Styela clava: one gene and its partner. The protein of the gene in region 2 interacts with the protein of the main gene of each other region in a pairwise test. Links are inferred from orthologs where the notes say so. Each region holds a gene or a part of one and is shown on either strand. Other genes may lie near its edges.

Region 1 (8,298 bases), on a different chromosome or scaffold from region 2:
AAACTGAATCAGAAACAAGTTGAACTGGAATCAATGCAAGAAAAATGTGCAGAACTAAATAAAAATCTTACTGCACTTCAACAAGAATTTCGAGTAAGTGACAAAAGCTTAAGAAAAATTCACGTTTAATTTTCAGTGCTTGAATATTATAAAAACACAAGATAGGGAATAAATTTTTTTAAAGTTAGTTCTGTTTGACCTTGTTATATCGTTTGTGACGTAATTTTCGATGACGTAGTCAGATGGGGTCGAGCATAATATATATATATATAGAAAAGTTGAAGGCCGTACCCACTACGAGTACTCACTATAGAAATGTCCCTATGTATCGGTAATTTTTCGATATCAGTATCGGTTAAAATAGGCCGATATATTTAGCACTTTAATCTGATTTAGAATGTTTCAAGCAGATAAGTTAGTATACGTATGTCGATAACGGATCATGTCCGCGGCATCTTTTGCCTCCGAGTCTATTGCTCACATCATAGCGAGTAGAAACAGGTATTAGGGCGTTCGTTTTTTGGTACCATGACGTTTTATTACAATTTAAACTTCTTACTGTTTTGAAATCAAGTTATTATCATTTATACTTTCAATTTGACAATTTGATAGGTTATGCAGATTTTACCTGTTTTTAGCTATTCATGAACCATTTCATCTCAACTTATTTGACTATCTTCGCTGGCAAAGTTTTTTGTTTACATTTTCAATAATAAATGGTAAACATGACAAAATATCTATCAGACATCATGGTGAATTTTCCCGTTGCGTGACTCTTCATTCCTCGCGCCAACATCGAAACATCTACATAAACTACCATAAGATAGTTTACTTTGTGATTCCTATGGGAGAAAAGTCGATAAGACGGCTTAACCATGGGCGTACTACAACCTCTCGTCCGATTATCAGTACATGTCAGGTAGAGGAATAATTATCTAGTTATTTTATTCAGTCGTATAGATTTAAGGAAAGTGTTGGGATCCAAATTTCCATGATATAAAGCAGTCAACGATGTGATTACTTCACGTATTTTAATAAACCGTTGGTTATTCAATCTGAAATACTGTTCACTGTAGACATAGTTCGCAGACAACTTTTATAGTGATATCGGTCAGGGTTGTCCAAAACGAATCGAATATTCGAAATTATTCGAATATCAAGGTATTCGAATACCTTTTCGGCTCATTTCCGAATAATTACGAATAGTAGTCACTTTTCGCCGTAAACACGGTGTTTCGTTTTACCGGAATCTTCAAACGACTTTTTACGCTTTCTCACGTATTACATGACGATGAGTCGGCATTTTGATTGTTTATATTCAGCGCGAATGTACGTCGCATAGTGTTGCGACACATTTGCACGTTTGCGTTGGTGGACATTGCCGACATTCGTCTTTTAATTCACAAAATCATTTCCATTAGTCGAAAAATCGACAATCACCGTATTTCCCGGCTAATAAGTCGCTTTTCTAGACCCAATTTTGGCTTGATTTTTTGGGGGGAGGGGCGCCTTATTGAGAAAGCATGTTTATTTTATTTCTATGTGGCCTGCTTATTTTTCGCATTAGTCTTCTCAAGCATAATTTGTGTTAAACCTTATATTTGGTTCTTATGGGTGTGCCAATCATGATATTTAATCGTAGGCCGGTTATCGTTACTTAAAAGAGAAAACACGGCCACCGCCACCGAGATAAAGTAAGTGATTTATGACCCTTTGGTTTTGCCGATTCAGCAGAAAACGACAGGGACATGAAACACAGCTGTGAAATAACCCGTGGACGTACCGTGTGGTACTTATCACATTCCAAAATTATTTCAACATTCGGGTTGATAGGTTGTCCAAAATGATTGCCGCTTTATAATTTAAATTTACCGCTTCGTTGTTGAGAATAGTTAATTCCGTGAGTATGGTTCTACCAAACAAACATGATCTGGTTCTGTTCTGACCCTATAAAATTATAGATTGTTCAAAATGATTGTGATTTTTAACTTAAAATTACCGCTTTATTGTTAAAAATAGTTAATTCTGTGAGTATGATTCTACTAAACAAACGTGATCTGGTTCTAAACATTATTATTAGCGCATATTAGCATAACTGAACAACAGGGAATAATTTTTCTACCCGTCTTCTTGGCGGCCTATATGGGAAACCCCCTTTTTTGAGTGCTAAAAATATACATCGTCCTATTTGCCATGTAGGCTTATTAGCCGGGAAATACGGTATTTATAGCCGTAATTGTTACGATATCCAATAAATTGTCACAAGTTGGGAAACAAGTTGATTTATTAGAAAAATACTTTCACCCGCTTTCTGGAAAATAATTTTGATAATGATGGTCAAAAGTATCGATAATGAAAGTATTAATACCAAATACCACGGGTATTTGTGGGCATGAAATGTGTGGTGAACTGCCCAATTATAATTATTTTCGGATTCGTATTTACAAAATATTAAAACTATTATAACTCAAAAATACAACGGCGATTTGTGGACTTGAATGTGTAATAAAGTATAAATTATTTTTCCTACTTGTGACAATTTTTTCGAGTACGAAAATAAGAATCAAAAATTAATTATATCCGGGCACAATATCACGGCATTCTGTGGACATAAATTGTGAGGCAAACTCGCGATTGATATTAATTTTTGATTCCTATTTTCGTATTTACAAAATACAACGGTGATCTGTGGACATTGAACGTGTGGTAAACTACCCGATTATAAATAATTTTTGAACCCTATTTTCGTATTTATAAAATAATAAAAGTATTATTACACAAACATACAACGGCGATCTGCGGACTTAAAATGTGTGGTAAAGTTCCCGAATATATTTACTTTTTGATCCGTATTTTTGTACTCACAAAAAAATTGTCACAAGTCTGAAAATGAACTCATACTTTATCCCGCTTTTTGACAAATAATTTGGATAATGGTTGGTATTTAAAAGTATGGGCGTTTTACTAGGATGATTTTGTGTTGCGCAAGCATTCAAATCCATCACCGATACCACTATTTAAAATGCCTTGTCGTATTATTTTAATTCTGTTAATTAATACAACTCATGTTATATAAAATATATATCGCAATAATCTGCAAACATGAAATGCCTGGTAATATAGCCAGGTTGTAGATAGAAGTTATTCCATTGTTTATTGTATGAAAATTCCTTCATACACTTAGATTCTATTACTGGATTTTACTTTCGAAGTATTCGAAATTTCATATTCGAAAATAATAATTTCGAATGTATTCGAAATAGTGAACTATTCGGTATTGGCCATCCCTGATATCGGTACATCTTAGTAATTACTACATCAACGAAAATGGGTGCCGTACAGAACAAAAATCTTGGCCTCGCCAATACGTCGCATAACACCGTTGATTGTTGTATTTTGAGAACCTTGTCAGTTGTAATCCTTCACGGACCTGGAATTTACTTGACCTTATAGATTTGGTTTATCTTGCATCAGAGCCTATATAATACGTTGATGCAGCGCGTTCACTACCGTATATCTTTGTGTTGAAATTTGCAGTGGTTTGAGTAATTGTCTGAGACATTTTGTCAATAAAATTACATAGATCCAGCATACAATAAATTCTTTCGCTAGCAAAAGAGGATTTATTGGCTTTGGCTAAATTCAACACAACTCGTTATAATTAGGATAAAACCACTTTATACTGATTTTATTTATATCAGTCTTCTTTAGTGCACAAATTTTAATGTCAGATTAAATATTGCCATATGTTGGTTCTTATATGCCCTGTACATTACATAGATCACAGATCGTTAGCACTATGCTTGACATAACCGGCAATGGGACATGCTCACAACAATATAGGCTAATCAACACTATATATAATTATTTATACACGCATAAAATGTTACCATTACAATTTTCTCTCTAAAAATGAGCACCATTTTCTTAATATTTGTTGGTAATAAATTGTAGTATTTGATTAATACCCAAATCTATCGATTTCTCATATATTTGTTTGCAAAATTCGGCTAATTTTGGGCGTTGGTTTGCTGAATAAATATTTAACAAAATAGCATCGTCATGAGAGACCTTATTCTTGTTTGAACTTCCAACAAGGCCTTAAGACTGATGATTGATTGCAGTCAATATTAGTTGACTGAAATGAATTACATTCGTAGAATAAGTTTAAAATATGAGTGAATAAACTTGGCAAATATTCGAAGTAAACAGATGTTGGCCCGAGCCTTGACCCCAGAAATTTTTCTACAGTTAACCATTGCAAAATGGGATCTTTCGTACAACACCCGCGCCAAACGCTCAAAACAAGAAAATTTGTAAAAATCCGATTAGTGTTTGAGTTGCAGATTGCGTTGGAAATTGTCAAATCATTTTGAACCTCAACTAGATAATTACTAATTTGTTATTTAAAAACATAGCGGTGTCGTTTTCCCAAATCCCACAATTTTGCATTAGTGTCGGGGGCTTTCTACAAAAGATCCGCAAAAAGTTTGATGTTTATTACAGCAATGTTTTCGTGGTTTGAAATGTACAAACTAGTTCACATGTTCATAACCATCATTTTGATTCAACGTATCTGCTTACCTGCTATTAAAAGTACCGGTAGCTAATTTTAGGATAGTCTATCTCGGCTTTTTAGAGAATAACTGTTGATTCTGTAACTAAACTGAAACGTCAGAAAATCAATCTAACGTTTCTGTCATGCTCAAAAATCCCTCTGGGTGTTTGAACGGCTAAAAGTTGTTTGAACGGCTGCTAAAAGTTCAATTGTTGCGTCACATTCGAAATTTTGCTGACTAGTTAATGTCAGCCACTACGCCACCGTAATCACGCATATATATAGAAGAAACCTCGAATGAACTACGCGGGAATTTGTATCGAACTAGCATCGCATGCGCTCTCTCACCATCACAACGACGGGTTAATTAAAATATTATACAATGTCATACCTAATCTGGGACAATTTAAATCATAAGTTGATTTTGTTTGGTCCCGCAGAATACAGCTGCGCAGAATTGATGCATTGGAGCTGATAAATAATTCCGACTACATGACTAACTTAAACATCCTTATCGTAAAAATAAACACTGCTTTCGGAGCGATCTTCGGATATAAGGTTAACATTTTGCGTTACTAAGCATTCGTCAAACAAACACCAAACACTGCTTTTTACTTATGAACTTATTGTAATTTTAAGCCACGGCAGAAAATATTCACAAATTAAATTTTATTCAGGAAAAATCGGAATCAGAAAGTGAGCTCAAAACGAATTTGAGTTCAAAAGATGATGAGATATTAGAGTTGAATAACAGCGTAAAAGCTCTGGAAGAGAAACTTGACGTATGATTTCACTGAGTGAAATGCGAATCAGTGTGCTGTTTAATTCCCTCTAATTGATTTTTGAACCTAATGATTATTTTTAATTAATTTTATGTTTTATTTATCGTAACTATTCATTGGTAAAATCAATAATTAATTTTGAGGCTTAATTCAAAAATAATTTAAGTTGTTTCAAATTTCAATACATATATATGATTTAATTTTAAAATCTTTAAATACGAACATCATTGGAATACGTAATCGTTTATCATCAAATAATTTATCATATATTTACAACTATCGCTAAATACAAAACAATATCGGACTACATTGAGTCTGCTACCGTAACAGTACATATTTGGGCGCTCCCGAAGATGGTTCACAACCTGAACCCTAACCTGGTATACACATACTATGTTCAGGTTGTGCGCCATCTTGGTGCACATACTCTTGGAGTTGAAACTAATAACTAAATGTTTCAATGCTATACATGTAATGATATAAATCATTTATATAATTATAAAAAATCGAATGACAATACATAACTCTTGGCTTTGCTTTACTCTTTCTGCCGTGAAGACACAAATACATTTACGACGACACGGCGCAAATTACATGCAATAATTTGCACTGCTGTGAACTTCAGTGCCGAAATAAACTCGCGTTAGCGCGTTAGCATTCGGAGAAATTTATATTTTTCTTATGTTTCTAGATAAACGATAAAAATTTCCAACGAAAAGAGAAAGAATGGGGAGAAAAATTGCAAGAAAAAGACAAGAAAATCAAACAAATGGAGGGAACTTTTATAGATGTTGTAAGTTGACTCTTCTTATCTGGTTAGGTTAGATTACTACTTTGAATACAATCTCAATGCCCGGTTTACCTAAAGTCATTGTCCTTATAAATTTTCATATCACAAACTCATGTTGGAAATTGTTTTATTTTTTATTCAAATTTGTTTAAATTACAGCTGTTTTAAATTAATACACTGATAAATTTTGTTCATTCATTTGCATTAACATGCCATAAATGTCTCGAGATCAAGCCTTACGAAACCATGACTACGGGAAACTTAAAATAATGATTAAAGATTGTCAATAACCAATTTTATTCGTTTCTCTTAGATGCCGCCTGTAGAAAAACGACCTCAAAGGCGTCATCGTCCCGGTGTTGGAGGAAACACGGTGAAAAATGATAACGTGAAAGCTGTAAAAGTTGAAAAAAATCTGAATGACAGAAAGTTTTTATTGGATGTAAGTATTTTGATACCTTATATAATGGTTTATTCAATTCTTTCGATTTCCAGTCTAATTTTTAGACTTGCTGCTATTTTGTTAATGTGATAAAATTCAACCTCGTCACGTAGAGAAAATAGACTAGACAATTCAGTCAATGCGCCCTTTTCTGAACAAAAATTGGATCAATGAATCGTATTGCAAAACTGTTTTCGTGTCGTCTCGGCAACCAATGGACCTACAGATTTTGAACTGAAGATGGAGGAAAATGCCAGAAGATTAGCCGTTTCAGTCCTACGGGGCCTGGCCTTTTACTCTCATTTCGCTGGTTTTCATATATCACGGCCTCATCCTTCCGTGCTATTTAATATGACATTAGGTACAATTCTTGGAGCCGTTGGTCGAACATTTTATGAGATTGCAGTGGCCATATTAGTCATTTGACTTTCGTGTCCATATATTTAAGCATCGTTCTCTCGTGAGTGCTCAATTTCGTAATAGAAAAATATTAAAACAAAAGTCAAATAGAAATGCAGTTATTCAAACAATGTCATTTTAATTCAATACAATAAATATCAATCTCATCCAAATTGCTTCGACTTACTTTCAATTCACCGATAAGTAATTTGATACAAATTGATTTATTCATTTTTGTGTCTAATCAATATTTCCATCGTTATTCATTATCTTTGCGGAGAGAATTGTGGAAAGACAAATGTAGTCAATTTACATATCAGATTGCCTCATTCTACCACTCGCAGGTGCAAGTACTTTAAAAAATAAAAGAGTAATATTTTTTAATTAAAACAGATAATGTTCTAAAAACAGGTATAAAAAAGCATATAAATTTTGTTGATTTGTCAAATTTTGTTGGATTGGATAACCCAGATGCTGCTGACCTTGACTGTTTTTCATACAGCATTAAATTACTTTAGTCTGCTCTTTTGTAATATATTTGTTTCTCTATTTCAGGCAATCGCATCTAATGATCTTCTGAAACGTTCTGATGAAAGACAAAAGCAGGAAATGGTCGATTACATGCAGTATGAGGCGTTTCCTCAAAATAAAGTAATAATAAAGGAAGGAATGTACGGAGACCGATTTTATATAATTCAGATCGGAACATGTGATGTAACACAGGTAAATTTAACCTGTTAGTAGGATGAGTGAGTGACACACGGCCTGTGAACATTTCAATTTCAAGCAATCTTACAAAGTTCTTACAAAGATTACTTGACTTCGTATTTTTAAGTAAGGGAAATCATAAATTTTCAATAAACAATGTGAAACACAATTTTCCATTCGAATAGTACCGTATTATTTTCTCGATTCGCTGATTGTTGCACCATTTCAAGCTAGAATATCCCGCTCGTGTATGTGCTCAAAACAAACAAAATTTATACAGAGATTCCCAGGAATGGTTTTCCAACTTGAAAACGACCTTTGGACCTAGTATAAATATTTCGCTTTCGAAGCATACTGAATTCTAAAAATTAGACTACAGGCTAATAATGACGCAATTATAAAGTAAACGTTACTTATGACTCAGGAAAAGAACAGCTCGTTGAAACGACTAAATTAAATACTTCAGGTCGTCGGAGCCCAACTTTTTATTTGCTCATGTAATCACAAAAAAAAACAAAATTTCCCGAAATGTCAAACGGAGAGGGCGTGCTTGCATGCTTTTTAAGCGTAAGACCAATCCATATCAATGATTAGATAGATTTATTTTAATATTATTATG
Region 2 (6,569 bases):
TTAGATAACAAAATACGATCGATACAAAATCAATTACTTCTACCTACAAATACAACATTGCCTCCATTTCCACCGTTTCCACCATCAGGTCCACCCATAGGACGATTTTTTTCTCTCAAAAACGATGATCTTCCATCTCCTCCTTTGCCTGCATAGACTTTTATCAACTTGTGGTCAATGAACTTTTGAGCCTAAATAAAACAGAAATAGGTTTTATGGCATTCACACATAATATAACTTGAAGTATACAATTCATAGTTCATACATCCCACAAATAAAAATGAAATGAGGACACAAGTGGCATCAATTAATAAATGCATAACTTCAGTACTGATTGGCAAACTTCACATCGTTACATTTTACTCAATGTGCATTTTAACTGGTAGCAAGCAAACCATTCAAACTTAATGCAGTGATGTTATTCATGGCATAAGTGCCATCTAAAACTTTGGTCACAATGCGGATAGTAATATACCACATTAAACTAATTTATTTAAATTCGTAAAAAGCTAAAATCACTTCAGTCATTCTCTAAGTCAACCAAAAAAGGGTTTATTAAACTGTATCATTCAGATAGAAACAACTTGGAAAAAACTTTTGATTTGACACACTGGCATTCTATGAATCAAATATAAGGAACAGCCAATCACTACCTAAGGAATCGGCTATATCTTACCAATTCTTCTTCCGTTCTATATGGCTTGCCAGTGATAATTTTTTTCTTACGAGAATATTGAGATGAAATAGAGAAAGTATTGCAAATAAATGTGAAATGGCATGACTTGTTACAAAAAAGACTAATTATTCTATGTGATATACAAAGCATTTAGCAGTTATATCATGCTATATATAGTGATTTTAATCTAAATTTACTAAAATATGACAGACAGACATTATTTTATAAACAATGAACAGAAAATGGAAATAGAATAAATGACAAAATGAAACATCTTCGAATCAATGCAGTTTTATTCTTCAGCACAAGGAATATTTCATTACCAAATAATAGCAGTTGTTGAATCGACTGATTTCAGGATTTCAAGGTTTATTTGCTTATAATAATGTGTGTCACTTGATAATAAAAACTCAACCAAAACACCATATTTCTATGATATTGTAACAGGACTACTTAAAAGAAACATACTAACATAGCCTAGAAAGAAAAACTTGATACCACAATTCAGCAATTTTAAAAAGGTCTAAATTGGAAACAAATATCAAAATAAATGGGAATACTATTTTCATTTTTGTAAAAATATGATTGAACAGAACAATTCAGCAATTAATGTAAACATAGAATTATAACAACTTTACATTACTCTGCTTTCCAGTTGTTCATAATGATTATTTTTCAAAGCCTTATTCAGTGTCAGCCAAATAATATGTTATATTATGTTTAACTCATATTCAACATTACTAGTACCTGGGTATTTGGTTGTAATGTCATATCTACTGTATCTGACAATAGAATACAATAATTAGCCAACATATCGAAATATTATGCGTATGCGGTATCATATTCTAATATATCATAGTCTCATCTGAATACCGAAATAGCCATTTGATAGATCACAAAACAGACAACTGGACAAGAGAGTATTCCATTTGTCCATGGCATTTTTGAGCAGTTTGTCAGTAAATTACCATTAAATCTCAGTCTCGGTGGGAACCACCATCATTTGATGGTCTATAAAGGCAGAAAGGTAAGATAATCATCATACTCTCAGTATAAACATTCCAGACAAGCTGCTTGGAAAATATTTACAGGTTTCCACCAGTTTGCTGAGTGAAAACATCTATTGTATCATCGTCCTCCATTTCAAGCTTTTCTGGGGTGTCCTCGAGCGAAATAGCCGTCCCGTCAAAACGAAACCGCATGGCTTCTATTTGAACTCCTTGCCGATCACAATATGCAGTAATCAGTTTTTTCATTGGCGTGCGACGTTTAATCTTGAATTGAATTACCGAGCCATCTTGTCCTGACACCTTTAGGTTTATATGTTGATCGCCGTCAGGCTTAACATCCTTAGGTTTTGCATCAGCCATCACAAGCCTGAACAATTCACACAACTTCTGTATTTCGTTAACAGTAAAGTCAAGCTGAATTGAGCCGCAGCGCAACAACAACCATCACAAAGCGTGGACGACGGCGCGGAATTAGTGCGCCATCTTCCGGGGCAGAATATTGATTACAAAAACTTGACTTGAAGTGTACCAATGGATAGTTTTGTTGGTATGTTGTTGTTCTCGTTAGCCTTTTCTTAGGTTACCGGCAAATGCTGGTTTGACGACTATCAATCAATCAATCAATACAACAGAACCACAAAAGGAGAAAAAATTGCAGGGGTCCCGGAAACATACACGATATAAAATTAGGCAATAACTTTTAAATACAAAACAATGAAAATTTCAGCAAACAGTGCGGGTCGAACTCGAAACGATGCATTGGTCGACTTCACGTTCAGTAAAATGCAAAACAATGAGAATTTCAGCGGACTGTGCGAGTCGAAACAACCCACGAGTTCACTTCAGCAAAATGCAAACGAGCAAAACAAAGTAAAATTGAGTGCTTTTTGTGCTTAGACCCAATTATCCCATCCAGTGGTTTTTGGAAGAGTATACCATATTAAACTTGCACAAATGCCCAATAGTTTCACTTTATAAATACTGGGTTCCAATATTAAGATAACAACGAAATAAAGTAACTTCCTCTAATTTTAACAGAGAGGAGAGTGTACATAAGCCATGTCAAAGAACGGGAAATGGAGATTCTCGATCACATATACAGGAGCATATAAACTTGTTCAATTCATCATATCTATCAGTGCAATGATAATGACGTTCATAATGATGATAAAAATTTGCACAGTTTTGAACAGGATTCCAGAATATGGCGGAAAAACAATTATTGCCGAATGAAGTGTGACCGAATATGTAAATTCTCATTTTATTATAAGACAAAAGCAAACTATACGTGCATTATTAACAGTGGCAGTTGCTGATAAATGCATATACACGGGATATATAATTAGAAGATTTACAGTATTATATACTAAATAAATATTAAAAATAAAAATGAGAAATTATTCGAACCAGCGACACGAACATATGATGGCATAGATTGTGGTTATACTATCACATGTGGAGTGATATTTTGCTAACAGTTTGTTTGCTGTTATCTTAGAGAAAGGCTTTTAACTCCGAATGTTGTTTTCTTGAATTGCATTTTACGACTTGTTTGTAAATTTATCTTATGCCGGCAGACGTCACTGATAAAGGTGGAAGTAGGGGTAAGCCTAGCAGACAATACAACTAAATTATGAACGCGTTATTGTAGATGTAGAGAGAGAGAGTGGGAAAGAAAGTTCATTTAATTTGTCAAAGCAAAAACACACGATTTATGCGGTGTCTTCAAAATGTCGTGTTCCACTTGTCTTACGTGTCCGACTCGTCCCACGTGTTCTACATTCAATCGTTAAATTTATCAAACCAAATAACTAGATGTCCATGTGATTCATTTGTTCGGTAAATTTTGTAATAATGATATTATTACTGTATACATAGTAAAACAATTAAGCAATGCTCGAATATATGAACACGGTGATTGCGCATAGGCATCGCTATGGCACACCGAGTTTGGTGAATAGATCGAAATGTTCCGAGAATGAAGCGATTCAACTTGGGCATCAGAGTCAGATGCCCCCTCGGGATTTAAGGACCTCGACAATAAATAATGATGTTTCATGAGTATTTTTTATTTGTGTCTTATTTTATTTGATAATTTTTTTATTGATATTTAAAGCACAGTTGACACAGTACAGTTACAGCATTATTGATCACTAATCATAAAATATACACATCCATAAACATATAAAGGGTGGGCATCAGTGATGAGCTGGAAAAATCGTAACAACCGGAACGCACCTAATTCACAAAAATGTAATATATTCCGAACACGACGCGGACGTTTACAGAACTGCAAATAAATTATATATATGAAATATGTTTGTGTGAAATTATTGAAGTATTCATAGCAATTCAATACAAACCTCATTAGGAAGGTATAGAATGAATTTTCACGGGGTGAAAGGTCGGGGGAACTTATACAACCGGAATGTCGTTCCGGCCACAGCTCACCACTGGTGGGCATTGGGTAACCTTTTTTGATTTGCGTGCCAAAATTGACTAAATAAAATGGCAAAATTCCTCCGCTCGGCAATGAATTTGTGAAAATGTATTAAATCAAATATGAATTTATTCTTTTTAAAAACAATGCTTTGCTACTTTCAAAGCAAAACCTGCAGGATAATAAACCTTTTAAACAGGTATTAAATTACATTTCAAGAAAATATTAGTCCGACAAAAATATTTTTATCAATTTTCTTTTGCTATTTCAGTGAGACTTCTGCTACTGTATTATCGTTGACATAAATTTTATATCAGGTTTATATTTTGGGTGCTCCCGAAGTATGCGAACCAAGATGGCGGACATCGGAACGTAACATGGGTAACAGGTTAGGGTTAGGCGATAATTTTTTTCCAATTTTCCTTATGTTAGTCCTATTATCAGTTCGAAGACTAGCCAAGAGCCTCTCGTAGTATTTATACCTAAAATTATGGCCTAACCCTAACCTAGTACAAATATTACATTCCGATGTCCACCATCTTGGTTCGCATACTTCGGGAGCCCCATATTTTGTAACCTTCAACGAAATACACAAACTAATACCTTCATCAGTCAGGTACTTCTTTTACGATACTTAAAAAAAGTTCATCACTGAGAACAGTAATTCACTTCCATATGCGGATGTAGATAATAAATAAGCAAGCCAAACTAGCACGCGATCTACAACTTCCTACAATATATTTCTTTGTAACGTGAAAAACGTCGTGAGAAAAGAATACATACACAGCAAAACGAAAAGAGCCAACTTGTTGCTTAATCCTTAGCACTACTAAGCCCTAGAACGGGATAAAGTACAGGTAAAGGTAGTCCAACCAAAATATCGATTACAAAATGCTGACAATTCACGATCTTAGGAAATAGGATTCCGTGTATCCGCGATATATGAAAAACTCGACGATTTGTGGCAGAGATTCCCTGTATTCGAAAATCCCTGACATTTAACATTTCTCCCTGGCGCAAATTTGACTACTGAAATCCCGGACATGTCAGGGAAAAATATAGCATATGGCAACCCTAGTTTAAGTAAAGAACGGATTGTTAACAAACGAAGATAAAACAAAAACATTAAGTTTCATCAGATAATACGACATTTATCTAAAGATGGCGCGGTGGTGTGGCTCATCGTGCTAAGCGTTAGGAATACGCCCGCTACCGCACCTCTGAAAACGTATGTTCGCAGGTCCGAATATCATGCGGGGATAGTAATATCATAGTTAACGGAATATTCAGTTAATAGGTAATGTGCAAGAGCATTGCTGGACTCCACGTCGCCGTAGAATGATTCACGTAACCGCTAGTCGGGTATACGGCTTTCTCCACCATCAAGTCCATGCTTCCGAAAACATACAAGAGAGCTGTGCTCAAATATATGGATACGTCACAAGGTGTCGCTATTTTATTCTGACATGAAAAAACGAATCTCTTGAAGTCCACAAAATTTTTGAAATAAGTAAAAACAATAGCCTTTTGACAAAAAAAAACAATCTTTAACCGCTGAAAATTTAGAAGCAATTGGTATAGTATTCGTAGAGAACAGCGATTTCATCATGACGAAAGAGAAAACTAACAAGAACAACAGCATAATATTGAAACGATCGTTATGTACACTGACGTGTCCAATTGTAAGGTCCAATAACTAACTAGTCCCATACCCGACATGGAATGGTAACTGGAGGGGCCATGGTTCGCTATATTATGTTTAAGCTGTCTTATCGGCTTTTCTCACCCCCAGGATAAGTATTCAAATCTTATCTAAGGGAGGACCACGTTTCCAAGAACACGCTCGCGTGCCAGATGGCTGTGCTTGGGTGCCAGGCTTGGAATGCGTGCCTCTAGTTGTATCGAGTAGGGATTTTTGTTTATTTTAGAGATAATATATCTCACACGGATTGAGAAATAAGGATACAGAATCACTCTGGAAACGTAGGTAAATATAGATCTACATTGTTCCTAATCATCAGTGCGCTGGTCTAATAATCTGTAGTCCAGTGCAAACTAAGGTGTTACACACACAAAATGCGTAATGTAAATTTAATTATAATTTGTGTTCATTGGATTCCGTTTTACAGTTGAGTTACTGGTTTACGGATAGTCAGATAATGTTATTTTGTCTTCAAGATATACTTTCCATTTTTGCGTTATGCTATGGCATTATGTCAATCAATTGATGATATTGAAGTTTTATATTTTTGGTTACTTTCTTTCATTTATCATTAACTTCGGACAGATATGTGGTGAAAACATTGCACTGAGGTTTAGAAACAAATAAGGTGGTGCAATATTGTTTACTTGATAATTTTAACATAATCAATGGGTTGGCTGGTCTAATCCAGGGGCGGGCAAGGTTTTTGGACCAAGGGCCAAAGATTTCGTCCACCTAGAC

The links.
Region 1: the proteins of small ubiquitin-related modifier 2-A-like (region 2) and E3 SUMO-protein ligase PIAS2-like interact in a two-hybrid assay, tested with the Caenorhabditis elegans proteins (2 studies listed by BioGRID). The link is inferred for Styela clava from reciprocal best matches to the Caenorhabditis elegans genes smo-1 and gei-17.

The regions. Positions count from the first base shown.
Region 1 is NC_135261.1:9,102,636-9,110,933, forward strand, and holds the start of E3 SUMO-protein ligase PIAS2-like, read right to left. Parts: upstream 3,064-8,298; 5' UTR 3,054-3,063; intron 94-3,053; coding exon of another isoform or gene 1-93. Other genes in the region: cGMP-dependent protein kinase 1-like, read left to right, coding at 1-93, 5,236-5,340, 6,032-6,133, 6,444-6,572, 7,527-7,694. UniProt on the Caenorhabditis elegans protein: Functions as an E3-type smo-1 ligase. Mediates smo-1 conjugation to air-2 in vitro and is required for proper chromosome alignment.
Region 2 is NC_135251.1:15,394,119-15,400,687, forward strand, and holds small ubiquitin-related modifier 2-A-like, read right to left. Parts: upstream 2,186-6,569; 5' UTR 2,047-2,185; coding exon 1,762-2,046; 3' UTR 869-1,761; downstream 1-868. Other genes in the region: mitochondrial ribosome-associated GTPase 2-like, read right to left, coding at 44-191, 677-826. UniProt on the Caenorhabditis elegans protein: Ubiquitin-like protein which can be covalently attached to target lysines as a monomer. Does not seem to be involved in protein degradation and may function as an antagonist of ubiquitin in the degradation process.